3 linked regions of the Canis lupus familiaris genome follow. The protein of the gene in region 1 purifies or fractionates together with the protein of each later gene. This does not show direct contact. Links are inferred from orthologs where the notes say so. Each region holds a gene or a part of one and is shown in the gene's direction. Other genes may lie near its edges.

Region 1 (7,255 bases):
TGCTCCCCCTGCTTGTGCATTTTTTCTCTCCCAAATACATACATAAAATCTTTCTAAAAACAAACCAATAAATCCCTTCACTCAGTAGGAAATGAGTAGCTGTCAACAACTTTTGAACAGTAACACGACATTAGAAACATGCCCAGCAAGATCAATCTTGCTGCATGTAAATGACACATGTGAAAGTACCTTCACACAAGTCACTATAAATCTAGAAAACACTGCTATTAAGTAATTTACTGAGTGTTCAGAGTATGCAAATCATTGTTTCTTGTGGATGGAAAGCAAACAGAAACCATACTATTGAAAACCTTGTAGTCCATTCTGGGAGAGAACAGGAAGGGGATGCTTGCTGACACGTGAAGGAAAAAGCAGGTGTGTTGTTGAGGATAATGGTGCAGAGAAGGTATGATAGAGAATAAACCACACGGTTTGGTCAGGGACCTCATCGGATGTAAATAAATAATATGTTCATTTTTCTATAGTTGACAGGTCATTCATTCATTGCTTCATCAATTTCTCACTACAACCTCATGAAGTAAGGTATCTATCAGCATTACTATACCCATTTTCCAGGAGAAAAAAACGAGGCTGAATATTTGTTCAAGTTTGCACTCAAGCGACTAAATTGCTATTAGAATCCAGGCCTCTTGAAAAAAAAAAAAGAATAATCCAGGCTTCTAACTCTGTATCCTAAGTTGTTGCACTTTGAGATCTTTCTTCCTCTCTAAAGTCTAGGCACTCTCCTCCATATACAACCTAATGAAGGTGATTACTCTCTCCAACTGATTACTATCAGTTTTAGTCATCACCACTTGCTGCATCAACTCTACTTCTGGGTTTTTTTTCCCCCTTTCTTCTGTTTTTTGTTTGTTTCTGTTTACTTAGCAACACCTAATATTAATGTGTACACACTGGGTTTCTCAGTAGATGCTGTTGCTTGACTAACAGGCTGCTCTTTTCCTCTAGAAACCTCACCCACATTTGGTAATGCTTTGCAATAATTTGAGTCACACTATCTTCATAATCTTGGTGATACTTTATATGCGTCTCTTCACAGTGACACAACCAGCAGTTATGTATCATTTCTGATAATCCTTTCAGAAATCTCCCAATACCATCTTCTTGATACAGTTAAAAGAAATTATAGAATTCATGCGCTTGACTGAATGAAGTCTTTAAAAATATTTTTAAAATTGAGACATAGTTGACCTACAACATTGATTTAGTTTTAGATGTACAGCATAACGATTATAAAGTCTTAAGTCCTATCTGAATTCTACAGGCCTTGCTAAAAAGTGTGAGAGAGCTTGTTATAAAGGCAGATTCTCCAGCCCCATCGCAGACCTCCTAGAATCAGTAACTGCATTTTAACAAGATCCCCAGCTAATTCACATACACAGTTTTTACTACATTTTCACTCTTTTGCTGAACTTGAAATGTCACGAGTAAGCTTCTCAGATTTTGCAAATCAAAGTAAAGGATTCCCATACAATTTGAAAACCACCAACACCGTCTCAGTGCATCCCAAATGCTTCATGGGAGGTACTTATGCATAAACGATATTCACTGTTCATCTGAAATTCAAATTTTACAGGGCTCTCTGATTTCAACCTCGCCATGAAGTTCAGAAGAGTAGGAACCACGTCTTCTAACACAACTTTGTCTTCCCCCACCATAGCACAGCGCCCTCCCCAACTGCTCAGTGCTTGTTTCCAGAGTAGACAGGGAGCCTCTGGAGAGCAGAGATCTCTGGTTTTCTCTCCTCCTTGTGTATTTGCAGGGACCAACCCGGCACACGGTAAAGGACCAGTTAACATTTCTTTAAGTGAATGCACGACTGACTGTACCGAGAGCAAGGTCCCGAGTGTGGGCTGGGCTGTGCGTGCATATTTTAATAAAGACGGAATATTTTTCTAGTGATTTGAAGAAAACAGATGGTCTTGCAAAGCTTCTATTCGTCCGCTGTTTCCCCGGGTGGCTGGCAGAGCCGAGGGCTTGACGGGAACACGATGGAGGGCTCAGGATGGATGGGCTCAGCATGGGCTCAGGATGGGCTCAGGATGTACCCGCCGCAGACGCGGGCCCAGCTGCTCACCCGCGGCGGCAGGCCCCGCCCCCCGGCGCTCGGCCCCGCCCCCCGGCGCCGGCCGGCTTCCCGCGCATGCGCACAGCCGCGCCGGCGGGGAGAGGGGGGAGGAGGAGGAGGAGGAGGAGGAGGCGGGGCTTCCGGGGCGCGTGCGCGGCGGGCTGGGCGGCGGGCCTCTCCCTCGGCGGGGGCGCGCGGGGCGCGGAGGACCGCACGGCGCGAGGGGGAAGTCAGGTGGCCGCCGCCGCCGCCGCCGCCGCGGTCTGTCGCCGGGAGGAAAATGGCGGATCTGGAGGAGCAGCTGTCCGATGAGGAGAAGGTAGGAGCCGCGCGGGCGGCGGAGGCCGGCGGCCGCGGAGGGGCCCCGGCGTGTGCCCTCGGCCGCCCTTCCTGCCCGCCGGTCGCCGCGGCGCCTCAGCGCCTGCCGCTGTCAGTCACGGAGGCCGCGCGCGGGGGCAGGTCTGCGCCGGGCCTGCCTCGCCGCGCCGCGCCTCGCCGCGCCTTGTAGGGTGTGTGCTCTGGAAACAGGCGGCGGCGGCGGCGGCGGCGGGGGCGGCGGGGGCGCGGGGGCGCCGGGTCGCGGCCTGGGCGCGGGGCCTGGGCTGGCGGCTGCCGCCGGGCTGAGAGCCGAGGGCCGAGGGCTGAGGGGGCAGGCGCCTGGGAGGCCGACCCTCGCCTCCTCCCTCCTCCCTCCTCCCAGAAGCCAAAACGCTTCCTTTTCTGGTTCTCGACGCTTTTTTTTTTTTTTTTTCGCTTTTTTTTTTTTTTTTTCTCCTTTCCCAGTGGAAGTCTCTCTTCTCCCTCCCCCCCTCCCCCCCCCGCCGTCTCCCGTTTCTCTTTTCCGGCCGTCGCCGTAGCCGTGCGGCTCCGCGGTTGGCTGCGAGGCGGCCCAGTCGCTCCCCGCGACCCCCGCCCGCCCCGCTCCGCGTCGCCGTCTGCCGCCCGCCCCGGCCCGGCCGCCCCGGCGCCGCTGTGGTGGCGGCCGCGCCAGCTTCGAAACCTCGCGAACGGCCCCAGAGTCTCAAGCGATTTCGAACAAAAAGGAATCTGATCCTAAAACTGGGTCTCTGAGGTCGCCCCCCCCCTTTCCCTGTGAGGAGGGCCCATTCCCCAGGGAAGAGGGGGAAGGGGGGGAAGGGGGGAAAACGGGGGGGGGGGGCGTATTGATTTTCCGCATTTTCCCGGAAGAACTTTGACGTTTCTCAAACTCAGAAACGTTGACGGGACCTAATCTGTGGATTGAGATAGTTACAGTTTTCCAAGCGTCCACTCTTAATTTCACAGTGTTCACCTTTATTTATTTATTTATTTTTATTTATTTATTTATTTATTTTTTAAGTTCCAAAGCGGTACAGCCGCGGATGAAACACACTTCAGGGTGTTTAAGAAATCCTAATGTAAAGCCTAAGGATATTTTCAGTTACAGCTCTGCTCCATGTTTTTTTTGTTTTGTTTTGTTTTGTTTTTTTAATAGCCTGGGATGTAAACCAGCACCAAAATGTAATGTCCTGTCGCCTTCCCGATGTAAATGTGCATTAGTGGGCCTCATCTTCGATTTTGGAAATCTTCCTTTCCTGTCTTTTCCTTCTTTCCTTTACCCTTCCCTTCCCTTCCCCTCCCTTCCCCTTCCTCTTCCCTTCCCCTTTCCTCCCCTTCCCCTTTCCTTTGCTTTGCTTTGCTTTGCTTTTCTTCCCTCTGAGCCCTTTGGTGCAAGTGATCATAAAAGGACAAGATGGGGAGAGCTGCAAGGTTCTCCCTAATTCACGGACCTGGCAGGCAGATCCCTTGCATATGCAAAAGTTGCTCTGAAGTGTGCACTTGTGCTATAATAGGTTAAATAACCATGAGTTCACCACAGAAAATGTTCAGGATCCGAGCACACACGTTTAAAGTTAGTGCTAAAGGTCTTTAAAGGGATTGTCATGGTCTCATTCTGCTGTCCTTAAGTAGTGGTTAGTAGTTTAAGTGGCTAGAATCTGGCTGAGGAGAGAGAATTCAGTGCGGCAGTTAATAGAGTCCTGCCGTGTGTTGTAAAGGCCTAAAAATGGCAAAGTTTTCTCCAAATGAATTGACGAGGTTCCTCATTATCTGGCATTCTCAGGGCACTAAACTCCCTAAAGAGGAGGGAGGAGGGTGTCTTAATCCTCCAAGCTTTCCCAACTTGGTGGTTTAAGACTAAATGAATGAAAATTCAAATTTGGGGCGCCTGGGTGGCTCAGCGGTTGAGCATCTGCCTTAGGCCCAGGGCATGACCCCGGGGTCCGGGGATGGAGTCCCATCCATCTCGGGCTCCCCGCAGGAAGCCTGCTTCTCCCTCTATGTCTCTTCCTCTCTGTCTCTGTCTCTTATGAATAAATAAAATTTTAAAAAAAGAAAAAAAATTTGAAGGAATTTGGTGTTTTTGTTGTTTCCTAAGACTATTTTGTTGATATTTTCATATATAGTTCATTGCTATATTTAGTGATTTAAGAAGACCAAACTTCTGGGTTACATTCAAATAACTGGTGAAATGAAATGCTAACACACTTGCCACTTTAGTTATTTAAATGTTCTTTTAATCTTTTGTGAGTAGGTTGGGTATAGAATCAAATAAAATTTTAAAAGGTGGTATTTTATTTTTATGTATTTATTTTTGGTATTTTAAAACTAATATTTAAATCGTGTTACTTTTTCTGCCACCTTATTTGTAATTTTCAAAAATAAACTTTTAATACTATTAAGCTGTTGGAATTTCCATTATTGATTGAAGATCTGAAGAAGGGAATCTGTTAATTTACATAATACCCGTACATTGGGTGGCCCAGACCGGTACATACATTTGTTAATATGTTGTAAGTTTGAGGTAGGTTTTATTATACCATTTCACAGGTACATAAAATAAGGTTTCAGTAGCTTTTAAGTGATTCACCCAAGGATGCCTAGGTAAGAAGTGGCAGAGGGAATATATATACATATATTTTAAAGATTTTATTTATTTATTCATGAGAGACACAGAGGCAGAGAGAGAAGCAGGCTCCATCGATGCAGGGAGCCCTATGTGGGACTCGATTCCAGGACTCCAGGATCAGGTACTGAGCCAAAGGCAGACGCTCAGCCACTGAGCTCCCCAGGTGTCCAGGCAGAGGGGATATTTATACCTGTCTGTCTGAATCCAGAGTTGGTACTGTTGTGACAATTACGCTCCCTTGACAATGAATGATAGGATCTTTTCTGGCTTTATCTTTGTTTTCAATTTGTTGACAACTTCTTTTGGAAAAGGAGAAAACAGTAGTTCTTTTTGTTTTTACTAAAAATTGTAAATATCTAACATTAATAGTGTTGCATTATAAACTGAATTTGTTTATTTTAGGACAAAGTTTATTATTTACACATTTTAAAATTTTATGCTACTGGTATAGTTTCATATATGCAAACTAAGGTAGGAAGCATTTTATAAAGATTCATCTAGAATAACATCTTTGTTTTTTAAAATCATGTACAATTGCTTTGTGAGGATACCACTATGAAATTTAATAACCTTTTCACCTTTGGCCACTAGATTAATAGGAAATAAAATTATCTGAAGAAGCACAGTGATGTTCTTTAAAGTTACTCATTTGTGGTAGCACGTCCCAGAGATACTTTTTTTTACATTGTTTAGAAATTCTAGGCCAAAAACAGTTCATGTTTTCCATTCCTGGGGTTAGTTGCATTGTAGAGTAAAGCAATTTTGTGAATTTGAAATTATGTGAAATTACAGTATAAAGCAGGAGAATTAATACGTTTCACGCCCCTCCTAACAGAGGAAAGTCACTCCCGAGCTCCAGAAGGAAGACAGTTATTAGTTGGAAAGGATCTTTTTGGTTTTTTTTCCCTATAACCCCTCCTACCTTTCTCTGATGATAAGAGTGATCCACTTCCATAGCTTCATTTTTATGAACATTTCTCAAATACATAGCTCAGTCCTAACTTCCCTTCTGAGCACTAGTCACACATTTTTATTGGCTCGTCCTTTTCACAGGAGACAGTTAATGAGATGTGTTCAGACGGAACCTTCCTAAGAGTAAATTCATAAACTCCCTCCCTTCCCCTTTCCTTCTACACCAAGTGGGGCAGAAATCTATCTCCTGCTCATTTTTCTCTTTATTTCTCTATTTCCATTATTCTAGTTATCCTGGTTTTTAACTTCAGCTTTATGTTAACTTTTGCCTCCTCGAGCTCTGTACCTTAGAGTCTGTTTCTGAATCTTGTTGCTCCCATCATCAAAATGTGTCTTGTGCAAAAAATTTCTTTTTGCTTGAAAAGGTAATTCATTTATATTAATTTTAGTTTTTTACGTCTCAGTTGACCAGACTATTAAACTATTATTTACATTATTAACTACTATTGTTCAGTAACAAAATTTTATGGTATGAATAGAATACAAATTGACTATACCTGTTCTGTGACTACACAGTTAAGGGAGAAATAAAGCCAGAGGAGGACAAGTAGGATCAGAAGAATGTCTCATAGTTGGCCTTTCCCTTCTTTTGTATTTGCCACAGTAGGCTTTTTGTTATAAACTTTCTAGACTAATTCCACCAATTTCCTGTGTCAGAGTCATGTTTTAGTATGTTGTTTTTGTACTCCCAAACTTTTAGTTGCTGGATCCTCCATTGCCTTTACAAGGAAGCCCAACTCTTGAAAATGATACTAGTGGCCTTGTATCCCATCCTTACTTTGATAGTTCTGACTCCAATACATACTTAATCATGCTGTGAATTGAAGAAGACCTATGTGCTAGTCCACGTCTATCTAGCACCTTGGATAAAGTATGTAACCTCTCAGCCTGTTTCCTCTGAAATGTGAGGATACATATAAATGGTACGTGGCATATAGTAAACACACAGTAAATTGTAGTTTGTTTTTTTTTTTTTTTTGTTTTGCTGATACCTTCTTACCCACTTTTTGATGTTAGAACTGCTTCCTAGTCCACTTTTTTGAAAGATGAAAATCTTACTCATCCCTCAAGATTTATCGCAGACCACGTGTCTGGCTATAACATATCATTAGTATTAAATATAATTTTGCATAATAGTTGTCTGTTAACCTGTTTTTTTTTCTTTTGTTCTGTTGGAATTCATAAGTGCAGAAATAATATCTTTAGCAACTGTCAATACACTGCATGTAGTGAGTAGAAGGCTTTAG
Region 2 (7,255 bases), on another chromosome or scaffold:
GAAGGGGGCTGATGAGAGCGAAAAAGAGGCCTCTTACCAGTACCCAGCCATGCCGGCACCCTAATCTCTTGACTTCTGGTCTCCAAAACTGAAAATAAATTTCTGTTCTTTAAGCCACCCGTCTATGCTATTTTTTAATAGCACCTGGAATGGACAAAACACACAACGTATATAAGGAATAATACAATACAGGATAAGTGATGAGTGTCTCCCACATAGTAGCTATCCTTATTATGTGCATGCAAAATTCACATTACTCTAATGAAACTCTACGCTTGCAGAGAGCCGAGGGAAACTTCCTTCTGTAATTCTGGAGTATTTTCAGGAAAAAGATTTGGATTGAGAAGCAAAGAGAATGGATGGAGTAGACACACTCTTCTCTCTCTCTCTCCCGCTAAGAACAGCTAAGTACATAATTCACAGGACAACCCCACCCCCCTAAAGAATCATCTGGCCCAAAATGTCCATCATGAAACCTTGGTTTAAATCAACCTCCTCTTGAAGCCTTCCCTAGTAACAATAATCTCTTTGTTCCCTGTACCTACAGTTTCCAAGAAAGATTAAAGCAAGGTTTCCTGGCAACCCAGGTGGCCCAGCGGTTTAGCACCTGCCTTCAGCCCAGGGCACGATCCTAGAGACCCGGGATCGAGTCTCACATCAGGCTCCTTGCATGGAGCCTGCTTCTCCCTCTGCCTATGTCTCTGCCTCTCTCTGTGTCTCTCATAACTAAATAAAAATCATATATATATATATATATATATATATATATATATATATATATATATTTCCTGAGTTTTTCCCACGCATGTTATTTTCCCTTCCCATACCGAGCCTTGTCTTAGGCCATTCAGGCTGCTGCAACAAAATACCAGATTGGGTAGCTTACAAACAACAGAAATTGATGCCTGGAGTTCTGGAGGCTGGGAAGTCCAAGGTCAAGGTGCCAGCAGGGTCCCATTCCGGTGAAGGCCCTCTACCTCGTTCAGAGCCCCCAAGCCCTCTCACCCTTTGTCATCACAAGGTAGAAGGTGCAAGGGAGGGAGCTCTCAGGAGCCTTTTACAAAGGCACTAATTCCATTCATGAGGGCTCCACCCTCATCACCTAAGCACCTCTCAAAGGCCCCACTTCCTAATACTATATCACAACGGCATTAGGATTTCAACATATGAAGGGGCGGGGGGGGGGGCGCAGAAAAACATAAATATTCAGACCACAGCAAGTCTGATTCACTTCAGGCAGGGTCACTTATCAGCTGACTTGAAAATATTGTTTCCCCCGTCTCCTCTCTCCTTACAGCAGGGTGGTAGACCCAGAGCTAACAATTTATAGACACTCTGCCAAACGTCCTTCAAACCACGGGGCCTATGCAAGTCCAGCCAGAGCTACAGCTCCTTTTTCAAGATGCAAGGGTACGTCTTTCCTTATGAAACCGTCTCTTACCTATACGAGCAATTGCTCGTTCCCTCCCTCATGCTACTACTATGCCCCCTCTCCCTCACACACACACTTCTTCGTAAAACTCATCACAGCTATTTGTTCACCCGGCAGCCACTCCTTCACCCCGGGAGCAGCTTAAACCACAACCCTGACACGTTCTGCTAGCACATAAGACAGCTCCTCGTACGAAAGAGGCGATCAAAGAACGGAGGAGAGTGACGACAGGAACAGCAACCGCCCTTTCTTGGTTTTTTTTCTTTTTTTTTTTTTTTAAGATTCTACTTCTTTATTCATGAGAGACACAGCGAGAGAGGCAGAGACCCAGGCAGAGGGAGAAGCGGGTCCCACGCAGGGGGCCCGACCTGGGACTCGACCCCGGGTCTCCAGGATCACACCCTGGGCTGCAGGCGGCGCTAAACCGCTGGGCCCCCCGGGGATCCCCAGCAACCACCCTTTCGAGGCCCCCCACAGTGCGCCACAAACTGATGCCCTTGGCGCTACTTTCTCAGGACCGCTGATGCTCACAACCAATTATAGAAAAGGAAACTGAGGCCCAGGGAGCTCATTTAGACCTCCCGTCCGAGGCCCTGCTTTTAAAGACAGCTCAAAGCACACGAATCTGCAGCAGGAACCGTGAACTTTTCCCCCACTCGGGTGGGAGGATGGAGAGACGGCGCCTCGGGGAGGGGGCAGCCTGCCCAAGCCTCCGTGCTCGGCGTGCAGTGCCAGGACCACAGCCCGGGCGGACAGACCCCAGCTCAGGGCACCCGCGGGGCGCCCCACGGGGAGGCGACACCTGTCGCCACCCTCGCCCTCGCCACCCCCCGCTTCCGCCTTACCTGGAGGCGCGCCCCGGCTCGGTCTGGCAGCACCCGGACCGCCCACGCCCGGACCCCAACTCCTTCCTCAACTCCCTTCCCCAGTCGCTGAAACCGCGAGCGCGGGCTCGAGCGTCATCAGCCGTCGCCGGCCAGCGGTCACATGACGCCCCGCCCTGCTCCCGCCCCCTCTGGTCATGTGACTGCCACGGGCGCCACAGGCGGAAGCCGGGGTCCCGCCGGCTGGCGATCGGGGGCTGCGGCCGGAGGGGTCGTCGTGCGGGGAGGGGAGGCCGGGCACCCGCGTGCCGACCCCGCCCGCGCTCGCCGGCCCCGCACGTGCGCCCTGGCGCGGCCGGGGTGACAGGTGAGTGAGGGCGGGATGCGCTCTCCGGGGCCCCGGCCCCGCGCAGGGCCGCGCGGGCGGAAGGTGCGGCGTGGACGGGGAGTCGGGCTTGGAGGGCTGAGGGCCTGCCTGGGGCGGCGCTGCAGCCGCAGCTCTCCCACCTCCTCTCGGGGCCGTGGTTCTCCCCGCCGCGGACACTCAGCTGTTGGCCCGCCTCTGACCCCTCCAAGTTTCCAGGAGCCGCGCCGGGCGGGCGGCGTTAATCCTCCCCCTGCTCTCGAGAACACGGGGTGCTCGGCGAGGGCTTTGAGAGTCTGCTAGACCCGGGTTTGAATTCTAGCTCCGCCGTGGGTTCCGAACTTGAGCCAGTCATTGCTCCTCTCTGCACCCAAGTTCCCTCACCTGCGGCACGCCGGTGCCGAAGTTCTTTGCATTTTGGAAAATAGTTCCGAGGGTCCCGACAGGTTTGTGGCGCACGGTTGAAAACATAAATCAAGTCACGGTGCCGGTAATGGAGCCGGATTCCAAGTGCACGGAGTTTCCTCCAACAGAGATACTTGGGGTCGTGACAAGGGAGGGAGAGGTCTTCCTGCTTCTGCGCATAACCAGGAACGCCTCCCGTTTTTCGTTCTCCCGTCTTCCAGGATTTATGAATGGGGCTAGAGAGATCAGGCCCATTTCCGAACTTGCCTGGAAGAGATTTGTCACTTTTATTTTGATCAACAACCATTCTGTTTTGTTCCCGGTCATGGATAGGTGGAGCCCAGTGCTTCCTTCTTTATGGAACCGAGGTTTTATGAAAGGATTAAAAAAAAAAAAAAAGACTTCTTTTGTCCTCTGAGTAGGGCACACAGGTTTGTGTGGTTTGTCCCAGGACAATTTAATTTCCTTCAGAATTCAGTTCTGTACCTGTTGGGTAATTGGTATGATGGTGATGCCATGCTGCGTTCTTGAAACACGTTGTTGTCTTTTGTCTGGGGCTACCTTCCAAACTGAAAACCACAGTTCCATGCCAAAATTCTTAAAAATAAGTTAACAGCTGCTTTTTGGGGTGCCTTGTAAAGGAAGAGTAGGAAATCGAGTGGGATCTCTGGTTTCATTTCATGCCAGATAGTAATACAGCCTATATTGAGAAAACTGGTCTTTATGAGTTTCCTTCGTCTCTAGCACCAAGAGAACCACTAAATGGAAGATTTGATATAGGTTCATCTACAGTGTTTATCTGGGTCTCATTCGTTTTAAATCTCAACTAAGTATTAGCACCTTATGAAACCACCTGATTCTGAGAGCGCTGCAACATGATTAGGCATCTTTAATGTTGGTTTTAGATTCTGTTCTTTAGGGCAAGTTTCTCAACCAACAATGGGTTATCTACCAAATACTCTAACCAAATAATATTTTAAATGTTGCCTACAACGTAAGGATTTAAGGATTAAAATAAGGGGTAAACACACAAAAGTCTTCACTTATGTCATTATTCCAAGCCTAAGCTAACTTGACTCTCTGCGTGCCGGAGCTGAGTGTATCTCTTTTTTGTTTTTTGTTTTGTTTTGTTTTGGGGGGGGGGGCGGGTTTTGGTGGGTGAGGTAAGGAGAAGAAGGCAGGTAATGTTTTGCTTAAGATACTTTCTCCATGGTCCCATTGTCAATCCTATATTGGGATCCAAAATCTGGGAGCAGTTACACCAGTTAAACGTAGCTTGCTCACCTTGCAGTTGTGTCTTGAGTTTCATCCTACTTAGACCTGGATCTTCAGAGGAATTCAGTGACTTGTTGTTGTTGTTTTGTCCATTTGCCATTATTTTCCTCCTCTCCTTGTCTCATTTTCCCAACTAGACCATTTCAGTGCAAAAAAAAATGGAATGAAATTGGGGTGCCTGGCTGGCTCAGACAGTAGAGCATGTGGCTGATAATCTCAGGGTGAGTTTGAGCCCCACACTGGGGGTAGAGTTTCCTTAAAAAAAAAAAAAATGGAATGAGATGATCTGAAATTCAGCCTATTAGAGATCAATGTGGCTTAATGAGTAAACATTATGAGAAAACGAAAAGACTTGTTAATAATTTAATCCTTAATGTGTATTAAAGATCTCCTTATAAAACAAAGTTCTAAACAACTGTAGTGGTTTCTCAGCAATCCCTGCTCTTGGACCAACCCCATCTACTTCCTTTGATCTGTGCTTCTCTCACTTGCTCACTCTGTTCCAGCCACATCAGCCACTTGGCTATTCCTTCACATCTAGCACATTGCTGCTGCCCTGTGGCCTTTGCATTTAATTTAAACACTTCCTGGAATGCCCTCCTCCCAGATCATTACTGATTGTAAAATAACAGACTGCCCCAAAACCTAGTAATTTAAGACAAAAAAAATTTTTTTGGCTAATAGTTTCTGTGGTCAGGAACCTATGATGTAGCTTAGCTAGGTGCCTTTGGCTCAGGGGCTCTTAGGAGGTTGCAGCCTGGCTGTGAATAGAAGTTGTCTTATCTGAAGGCTCAACTGGGGTTGTGTGTAGTTCTATTTTCAAGCTCATTCAAGTGGTTGTTGGCAAGCCTCTCACTCCCTCATCACAGGGTACACTCACAACATGACAGCTTGCTTCCCCCAGAACAAACTAGCTAGGAAGGATGCCCCAGCCAGAAGTCACCATTTTTTGTGATCCAACCTCAGAAGTAATATCTTTTCCATCTGCCTTATTGTGTTCTTTAGGAGTCGGTAAGTCACCCTCAAGGAAAGGGTTCATACACAGGGCATGAACAAGGAGATGGAGGTCACTGGGAACTGTCCTAGGGGCTGCTGACCACACTCAAATACCCTTACTGCTTGCTTCCTTACTTCCTTCTGGTCCCTGCTCAAACATCTTATCACAGAGGCTGTAAAACAACACACACTCCATCTCTTTATCATGCTTTTTCTTCACAGCAATGATCACAGCCTGATACATAATGCATTTATTTATTATCTCTTCCCCACTCCTAGTAGTATGCAGGCTTTATGAGAGCCAGAACTTAGTTTTGTTTGCTGCAATATCCTCAGGTCCTAAAACAGTGCTTGACGCATAATAGGCACTGGGTACATATTTGTTGAATTAATGAATCTATACCAGTAGGATTCTGTAAAGAATCCAAAAGCCAACTAGCAGTAAATAAATCATAAAAATAGCTCATTTTACAAGGATTACAGAGGCAGGAAGTGCCACAGTTGAATCAATGAGTCAATAACATCAACAAGAATTTAGATTCTTGGGACGCCTGGGTGGCTCAGCAATTAAGCGTCTGCCTTCGGCCCAGCGCATGATCCTGGATTCCCGGGATGGAGTCCCACATTGGGCTCCCTGCATGGAGCTTGTTCTCTCTCTGCCTGTGTCTTTGCCTCTCTCTGTGTGTCTCTCATGAATAAACAAAATCTTTTTAAAAAAAGAATTTAGATTTTTTCTAAATTCCTTCCAAACCACAATCTGCAGGTTTTTGGCTTTTTTTCTTTTAGCTTGTCATCTTGTATTTCAGGCAAGATATGTTCATGGGACCACATTCAAAGGCAAGAAGGAGAGGGATAGCCAGAGGAAAGATAGAGAAATTTCTCTTCATATGCTTCTCTCCTTATAGCAAGAGGAAAAACAATATATTTCCTGTGAGGTCTACCATAGACTTCCTCTTTATATCTGATTGGTTGACACTGAGTCACATGTCTAACCTCACTTCAGGGGCCATGGAAAAATAAGGATCCACTTGTTTCCACCTCTGTAGGAAGAAAGGAAGAGGAAGGAGGAAATTCTTGCTGAGGAGTCGACAGCATGCCAGTAAATTAATACGTTTCTAAGTATTTAATCAATTCTAAGAGACGTACAGAAGGAAAAAAGAAAACCTTGAAGGGCTATACAAAGTTTCCAGGTATTAGATAGCTACACTAGGTAGCTTGACATGAGCAAACTCTGAATATATGTGGCAAGGGTTGGGGAATGTTTTGTTAGGGCTACAAAGGAAGCCTTCTGTCAAAAGTCTTCCCACATTCTGTTTTTGTGTGCAGCGACATCCTCATTGTTTCATCGTTCACTATCTGAGTCCCTACAGCTAGATTACATATTTACGAAAAAGTTGGCATTGATGTAAAAATTTTAATGAGCTGACCGCTTATACGATTAGTTCTTCTCATTCAGATATTTGTGTCCTAAAGGGTCTAGTGGGTTGAATTCTTATTTTTGTTGTTCAGTCTTCTTAATGTCATGTTGATAGAACACAGTGCCAGTGCGAAATGCAAATGTTGGGAGGTATACAGGCCTTCATGACGCTGAAAAATAATCCAGGCTTCCATGAAGTTGACCACGATGACCTAGCTAAATGAACAATTAGAGGAGAGAAATATAAGAAAGATGATGAGAAAATTAACACTTCCGAAGATAACGATTTGAAAAAGAGTTGGAAGAAGCTTTTGGGAAAATAAATGCTGCTGTGAACGTTTTTTGCAAAAATTACCTTTTTCTAATATCATGCTATAAAAGTCAGCTATGAAGTACAAGATACTGTATTATCAAACTCACAATTCGGTGAAATCCATGTTTGACTCATTCTTGGTTTGTCCTTTGAATGAGGACATAGTTATTGCACTTTTACACTAGATGTTGTTAGGTATGAAATTTACTTTCATAAATTTTAATGATAC
Region 3 (7,071 bases), on another chromosome or scaffold:
AAAGGGTTTCTGAAATGTTAAGTGCTAAAGGGCCAATCAGGGAAGAACAGAAAGCAGAGGGGAGAGATCGGATGTTGTTCTGCAGTGAGGGTCCTTCCATGCTCCAAACCACCTGGACCCATGCAGAGAGAGGTCTGCGTACCCGGGGTGCACCTGCCCGTTTCTGCAGGCCCCATGTTTCTCCTGATAGCTGTCCCTGGAACTACCACCAGGCTTGTTGACTTTAAACCTTTACTGTTCTTCTTGTTTAAAAAGTACTTTCCAACCTACTTGCTTTTCTTTTCTTTCTCTGTCTGTTCTGTCCAGAACCAAACTGTCTTACTAACTGCCCCCTGGGAACTCTAGCCCTGCCGGCCTCACGCCGTAAGTGCTTTCTACCTTCTTTGCACACCGTCTGGAAAGGTCATCTGTGTAACCTGGGGTTGGTTGGCGTCAGAAATGCCACGATTCAGCCTCAGAAACAAGGCTGAAACGTGCCAGGTAGATCTGCCCTGACCATAGAGCCCACCACCTGCACTGGCCTACAGTCCACATTCAGGGACAGATGGGCAAGCCTAGACATTCCCAGTGGCCGCACAGAGTACCGAAGAAATCCTGCTGAGATTTCCACTCTCTGCTCTCATAGGAGTAAAGGTATATTGGCTGGAGAAGGGACTGTCTCTGGCAGAGAGGCCTGGTCGGTGGGGATCTGTGAGCCGAATATGTTCCCAGGTGGCCTGTCCCTGCTCGCTGGTATCCTGGAGGCACACGTACACTACTAGATGCTATAATGAGATGTGACCATAATTCGATGAGGCTTTTCTCTCTCTTTCAACACCCGCACCAGAAGGAATAAATCCAAATGTATCTTGTCCTTCGAAGTGATCACCATAGGTGATGTAGTAAGTGCTCAATAAATATTTGTTGGATGAATCAACAACAAAGCCATCCCTTGCTCCAAAAAATAGTCTCACAGAATTGCCATCTGAGCCTGAATCGAGGCATGTGAAAAAATACCAGTTTTATGTCTGATCACGAATTAGTCACCCACCCACCTCACCCACTAGTCTTAACTCAGAGTGTTAAATACAAAAATGCAGTTGGCTCTCAAAGACTAAAAAGGTGCTCTCAAGATAAAATGGCCACATTTTAAGCCATTGCAGTGGCTTCTTAGGGAAGGACGGGACCATTTGCATGTATGTACTGGTGTGTTACTAAAGAAAGAGTCCATTCTTGAACCCGGTCACACATTTCTCCCTATAGGGGTTCACATGATGAAGAAGTGGCACCACGCTGTCTAATCAAAAGCCCGTTCTGGTTCAGTATCGGCCAGGTGGCAATGGGCTGCAGCGGTGTTGGAAAAAACCCATGATAGCAGCCATCTCAGTATTCACACCTGGCACACACCACACACTCATACATAGCACATGCAGCACATGACACTCATGCACAAAATGACCCACGATGCACACATAACATCCTCATACAAGGCACATACTTGTACACAACATGATGTCACACATACACAACACACTTATATACTACACAACATACACAATACAAACACACAACACACAAATCTGACAATAGGAGGAGCAGAGACAGAAAAAGACAAAGCAGTAGCAGGTGTCCTAAACCATGCACCTCCACGCATGTGCATAGCAGGGCTGAGGTGAGGAGAGGACAGCTCACCCCACCTAGTTTGCATTTCAGCTATTTCAGGCCTTTGTGGGCGAGGTCTTCCTGGTTGCCATGGTTCCCACCAGCCTAGCACTTTGCTAATCAAGGTTTCCCCATCCTCTGCTACAACTGCCGTCACAAGGAGGCCGGGGATGTTTAGAAGTATCTCAGTGTTCATGCCATTTCCCGTGGGGCCCACGGGGAAGCAAGGCCCACCTCACTCCATCACTCTTCCAGAAGCCCCAAGGCGGCGCTCTGCCTCCCCTCTTCTCCTTAGTCCTCACTGTGCCCATGGATACAGCCCACCGTCTCTTCTCCACTGTCACTCCCTGCTCTGCAGACTAAACCCTCCTCATCCTGGCCTCTGCACTTGCTTGTCACATCTATGTCCGTCCTCTGATGTCCTTCCCTTTGGGCTCTGAGAGCCTGTATTTGCTGTCATTCTTCATTGCAGTGGCTTACCATCTCAGCTTTTTCTTGTTTGAGTGTCACCTGGGCAGGTGGGTTCCGCCCGGTGAACTCGGGTTTCCTCCCACCACCCGCACTCTTCGTGCACCAGCAGACTCCAGGTTTGGGCATCCTTGTTTCCTAGCCTGCAGACTAAGGACAAGTAGCTGGACATTCGTTAACACCAGAAAAGGAGCCTTGGCCCGGGAAGATGTATTATAGGTGGTCTGCCCCACAGTTGAGTGTGTCTTGCATTATCTGTTCTCAGAAGGCGTAGGATGCCTATAACAGAAGCACAAGCACACTCTGATGCCACTTTCTAAAATGCTGCAGCAGGGAAGAGTCATTAAAAACCAGACCGAAGTTAAAATTTCTGCCTGCAGCATTTTTTTTCCATGTTGTGGGAGTTTGTTTAACCCACTGTCAGTCAACTTGGAATAAACAGTAGCAGAGTTCGTTTTAAGGTGAGTCTTTTTGCTAATACAGCTGGATAAATCATCCGTCTCTTCATGGGCCTCCAACAGACCAAAGGGTAGGGAGACTGGCCTTTTAGGGCCAGGTCACTGTGGCTAATAGATCACTCAGGAGGGCCAGAAGGATGGGGTCAGCCAAGTCAGACCATGACCAGGTGGCCTGTGGCTTTCCCCCACCTTCCATAGGCTCTAGCCCAATTCTGAAGATGCTTGTGTAAACATACCCATCTCACAGCATTGCCATATTTTGATCATAATTTGCTATCTTCTCATTCCTCTGTCACTGATCATCTGTTTGAATTTTTCACTGACCATTTTGTTATTCTCCTGGAGCAAGTATAAATTAACATTGGGAAGTTGCCCCTAATCCATTGCATTTAACTGGAGTCTGTTGAGAAGTGTGTTTGGGGAGAGTCACCCCCTTCCCCCCACAAAGGAACTGTGGTTCTGAGTAACCCTGTCTTTCTCTTTCTCGGCTTTGAAGGAACTACCTTGTTCCGCACTAGCTCCATCCCTAGAACCCTGCTTCTCCAGGCCCGAGAGACCAGCAAACCGTCGCCTTCCGTCCCGTTGGGCCTCACATTCCCCCACTGCCTCACTGGCTCAGTCACCCGGAGACCCAGCCTCCTTGGAGGAGCTCGGCGATGAGGAGCCACCGGGGGAGAAGACACACCTGTGACGAGTGCAAGTTTGCATGGATTATCAGGGAATGATTCCCTGTAATTTGCATAACCACGCTGTCATCAACCAAGCTCCACCCACAAGGAAAGATCTAGCTTTCCCAAGGTCAAAGAATGTTTTTAAAAAACACACAGCTGCTGAATGTCCAACCTGTGAACCTGAGATGTTTCTAGAACGAAACCGTAAACGTGCCTGTAATAACTTAATTTTTTTCATAGCTCAGAAAACTATTTTTGTCTCCATCTTTTTTACACAGTATATTAAACAAAAAAGCTAGATAAGATATAAATTTAAAAAATAAAAGTTTTAAAGATGTACATTTTAAGAGATTCTGAACACCCTTGCTCTCAATACTGACTGCCTCTCTGTTAAATTTGCACTGTTACGCCTTGGTTTGATTTGTTCCCACATTGAAGTAGAGTGTTTTAAGTTAACTTCATTTTGTCAGTGTTCTTGTTTTTTAAGAATTTTTGAAATGCTTCAGACTGATTCAGTGAACTTTTTATAGTGAAAAAGCCATGAAGCCAGTCGACAAGACGGATATCCTCTCTACTGGAGGGGATACACGTCAGCATTCTTGCAAAGGTACAGAGTCCTCAGCTGGGCTTACCAAATTTGCTGTATAATCCACGTACTCTACTCGACTTGCATGTCTTTGGGTTCGAAGCGCTCTGGGGTGCATGTACATACTGCTACTGTGGTCCTACCATTGCGTAAGTGTGAGTCATCTGTCCCACTGTAATACGTTGTGAATCCCTCGTACTGTACTTTCATCGTTGTCCTCTTGCATTGAGATACAACAGCAATGGCATTTTTAAATTATTGTTAAAGATGAACTGGCAATATACAGTGTTTACTCAAAATTTTCTTGTTTAAGGAAAAGCACTGCAAAAAGTCCGGAGGGTACCAAACTGAAGCAAAGGATGGTCCCTCAGAGTCTGTATGAGACAATGATGAAGTAGAAATAAAGCCTTTCAAGATGGCAGCCTGTTCCGGGACCTCATGTTTCACATGCCCTCCATCTTCCCCTAAGGGCTCAAGCAATAGTTTTCCGTAGCCAGGGGAACGAGGAAAAGGGGAGGTCCTGTAAAGAGGCAACAGCTGCTAACACACCTCACTGGGGGTACACCGTGAGCACCTGGTATGCCACAGCTTCCCTCTTCTCCATAAGAGCGCCCTGGGGTTGATGACAAGGCAACTTCTGGTTGAAAACATGGCGGGCATGGAGGTGTGAGGCAACTGTTACCCACAAGTCAAAATGTGCCTGGCCTCTCTCCCTCTCCCCTCCCTGGGAAAGGGGGAGTGGCCAATCACCAGGACCGGCTTCCCTCCCTGACAAAGAGGTGTCACCCGGCCTGTCAGTGTGTAACAGAGTAGGGAGTTTATAAAGAGGTGATGCTGGTAAAGAGTGAAAGAACTACTTTGGGCCGAAGCTTCTGGCCTTCATGTCCCATTGACTCAACAGTGCTGTCCTTCTCTAGACTGGCTAACAGAATAAGCTCTATTCCCAGCATTACAACAGTTCTACCTTTAAGTTAAATATTTTCCCCTAAAATGGAAAATACCATCTATTGGTGAGAACGTGGAGATGCTGGAACCCTGGGGTGCTGTTTGTGCAGCCGCTGTGGAGAACAGCAGGATGGGTCCTGAGGTGAAACAATTATCTGTGCCCCAGCAGCTGTGGCCACAGGCCCAGAAGAAATGAAAGCTGGGACTTGAACTATCTGCGCACTGATAGTCACAGCAGCGCGATCCACAAAGCCAACCGGTGGAAACAACCTGTCAATCAGTGAGTGAGTAAATGAGATGTGGTGTGTACATGCTCCGGAATGTTCAGCCTTAGAAAGCCAGGGAAGTCTGGCACATGCTGCCTACCACATGCACCAATCATGAGGATGCTATGTTAAATGAAATAATCACAAAATAATCACAAAAATAACTATTGTATGATTCCACTTCTTGGAAGTACATAAAGTAGTCAAATTCACAGACACAAAAAGTAAAATAATGGTTACCAGGAGTTGGGGAGAGGAAAGAACAGAGAGTTAGTGTTTAGTGGATATGGTTTCTGATTGGGATGTTCTGGCAACAGATGGTGGTGATGGTTACACAACAATGTGAATGTCCCTAATGCCAACGAACTCTACACTTAAAATGATTAAAATGGTGAATGTCAACGTATATTTTACCACAATAACAATGTTTAATGCAAAAAACACTCCACCTGACTACTCTAGACCTAGCGGCAAACAAACTGCCAAGTCAGCAAACCTTTTGTGCCTACCATGTGCCCTGCCCACAGTAAATGCTGGAAGGCGCATTAGTGTATCTCCAGTTGGAAGCAACCAACCAGCAGGAAGAAGGGAAGTTGTTGGCCCTCATAAGTGGAGAAGTGCTAGCATCAAGCGCGGTTACAATCCAGAGCCTCCGACAGTGCCATCAGGACTCTGCTCTGCCCCCTGGCTCTGCTCCCTTCTGTGGGCTCGCTTCTCAATCATCTGAGAGTCAGCTACGATGGTCCCCAGCAGCCCCTATCAGTTTATCAACTCATGGATAAAGAAGATCTCTTTCTGGTGGCTCCAGCAAAAGCCCCAGGTGTCATAAATCTCATGGGTCTCCTGTTACTCACATGTCACTCCCTGAGCCAGTCGCTGACACATTTGCCCAGCAGAGGAGAACCAGAGGTTGGCAGAACAGAGGAGAAGTTGCCTGGCAGGCAGCGCAGGTTGTGTACGACTACGGGGTGCCCCAGAGTTAGAAGAGGTCTGGTCATCAGAAAAAACATGCGATCTGGTTGGAGGAGATAAAATTCCCAAGCACTAAAACAAAATGCAAGAACGCCGTGGTGTAAATCCTAAGTAGAGTAGGGCTTGAGTTGGACCTCAAGAATGAGCAAGATTTCAGTGTAAAGGCAGGGAGAGATGTTGGGTTGGGAGAAGAGAGGAGCAGAATGTGAGGTGGTGGCAGTTGTACATCAGAGCGGGGCAGTAACAGGCTCTCAGGAGCAGAAGCGGAGCCTGGGGTGAGCAAAGCCACACCATGCTGGTCCCAGTGCCTTGAAAGCCAGCTTGGAACTTCTCCGATCACCCAATTTTCTAAGAGTTGGACATAGGTATTCTTGAGTCCATTTGTTGTGGAACTACTCCAGCTCCTGAGAAAGCAAGACAGCAAGTCGGATGAAATCATGTTCTGTACTCCTGCCCAAGTGAATGGCTGGGCAGCTAAGCAGGTAATGCTGGGCTCTGAAAGAGGAGCACGTACATCAGGGCCCAGCCTGCAAGGAGTGTCTGCTGATGTCTTCAGGAGCCGTCCTCAATGTGCCACTTGCTTTTATGTCCTCAAGAGAGAGGCAGAAACCGATTCCCGGAGCCCAGCTAGCAGCGCCCACACATGGGGCGTGCCCTGCCCACTGGGTGGCAACCAGCACCAGCAGCCCAGAGACCATTCTCATCAAACTGTACTCGACCTGGGCTTTTTTTTTTTTTTAGTATCTGTGCATTCTGTGATTCTAATTTTTATTTAGTACCTTTGTGTTTTAATGTCTTTCTAAAAAAAGATGTTAATTATTTGAGAGAGAGAGAACAAGCTGGGGGAGGGTCAGGAAGAGCGAGGAGCAGACTCCCCACTGAGCAGGAAGCCTTATGTGGGGCTCAATCCCAGGACCCTGGGATCATGACCTGAGCCGAAGGCAGACACTCAACCGACTGAGCCCTCCAGATGACCCTCAGCCTCTTTTTAAAAATTAAAATGGCTAGAATTGAGCATATTTACTTTGTTCAAAAGGTAGCTGAGAAAAAAAAAAAGTAGCCGA

What was found.
Region 2: the proteins of CAPZA2 (region 1) and WASHC5 purify together in Homo sapiens (affinity purification with mass spectrometry; 3 studies listed by BioGRID and IntAct, counting the BioPlex papers as one, with this or other methods). This does not show direct contact. The link is inferred for Canis lupus familiaris from reciprocal best matches to the Homo sapiens genes CAPZA2 and WASHC5.
Region 3: the proteins of CAPZA2 (region 1) and MTCL1 purify together in Homo sapiens (affinity purification with mass spectrometry; 3 studies listed by BioGRID and IntAct, counting the BioPlex papers as one, with this or other methods). This does not show direct contact. The link is inferred for Canis lupus familiaris from reciprocal best matches to the Homo sapiens genes CAPZA2 and MTCL1.

Annotation. Positions count from the first base shown.
Region 1 is NC_049235.1:55,890,616-55,897,870, forward strand, and holds the start of CAPZA2 (F-actin-capping protein subunit alpha-2), read left to right. Parts: upstream 1-2,262; 5' UTR 2,263-2,369; coding exon 2,370-2,408; intron 2,409-7,255. UniProt on the Homo sapiens protein: F-actin-capping proteins bind in a Ca(2+)-independent manner to the fast growing ends of actin filaments (barbed end) thereby blocking the exchange of subunits at these ends.
Region 2 is NC_049234.1:23,488,137-23,495,391, reverse strand, and holds the start of WASHC5 (WASH complex subunit 5), read left to right. Parts: upstream 1-2,486; 5' UTR 2,487-2,623; intron 2,624-4,437; exon of another isoform or gene 4,438-4,521; intron 4,522-7,255. UniProt on the Homo sapiens protein: Acts as a component of the WASH core complex that functions as a nucleation-promoting factor (NPF) at the surface of endosomes, where it recruits and activates the Arp2/3 complex to induce actin polymerization, playing a key role in the fission of tubules that serve as transport intermediates during endosome sorting.
Region 3 is NC_049228.1:75,041,095-75,048,165, forward strand, and holds the end of MTCL1 (microtubule cross-linking factor 1), read left to right. Parts: intron 1-306; coding exon of another isoform or gene 307-345; exon of another isoform or gene 346-363; intron 364-3,063; coding exon 3,064-3,258; 3' UTR 3,259-4,245; downstream 4,246-7,071. UniProt on the Homo sapiens protein: Microtubule-associated factor involved in the late phase of epithelial polarization and microtubule dynamics regulation.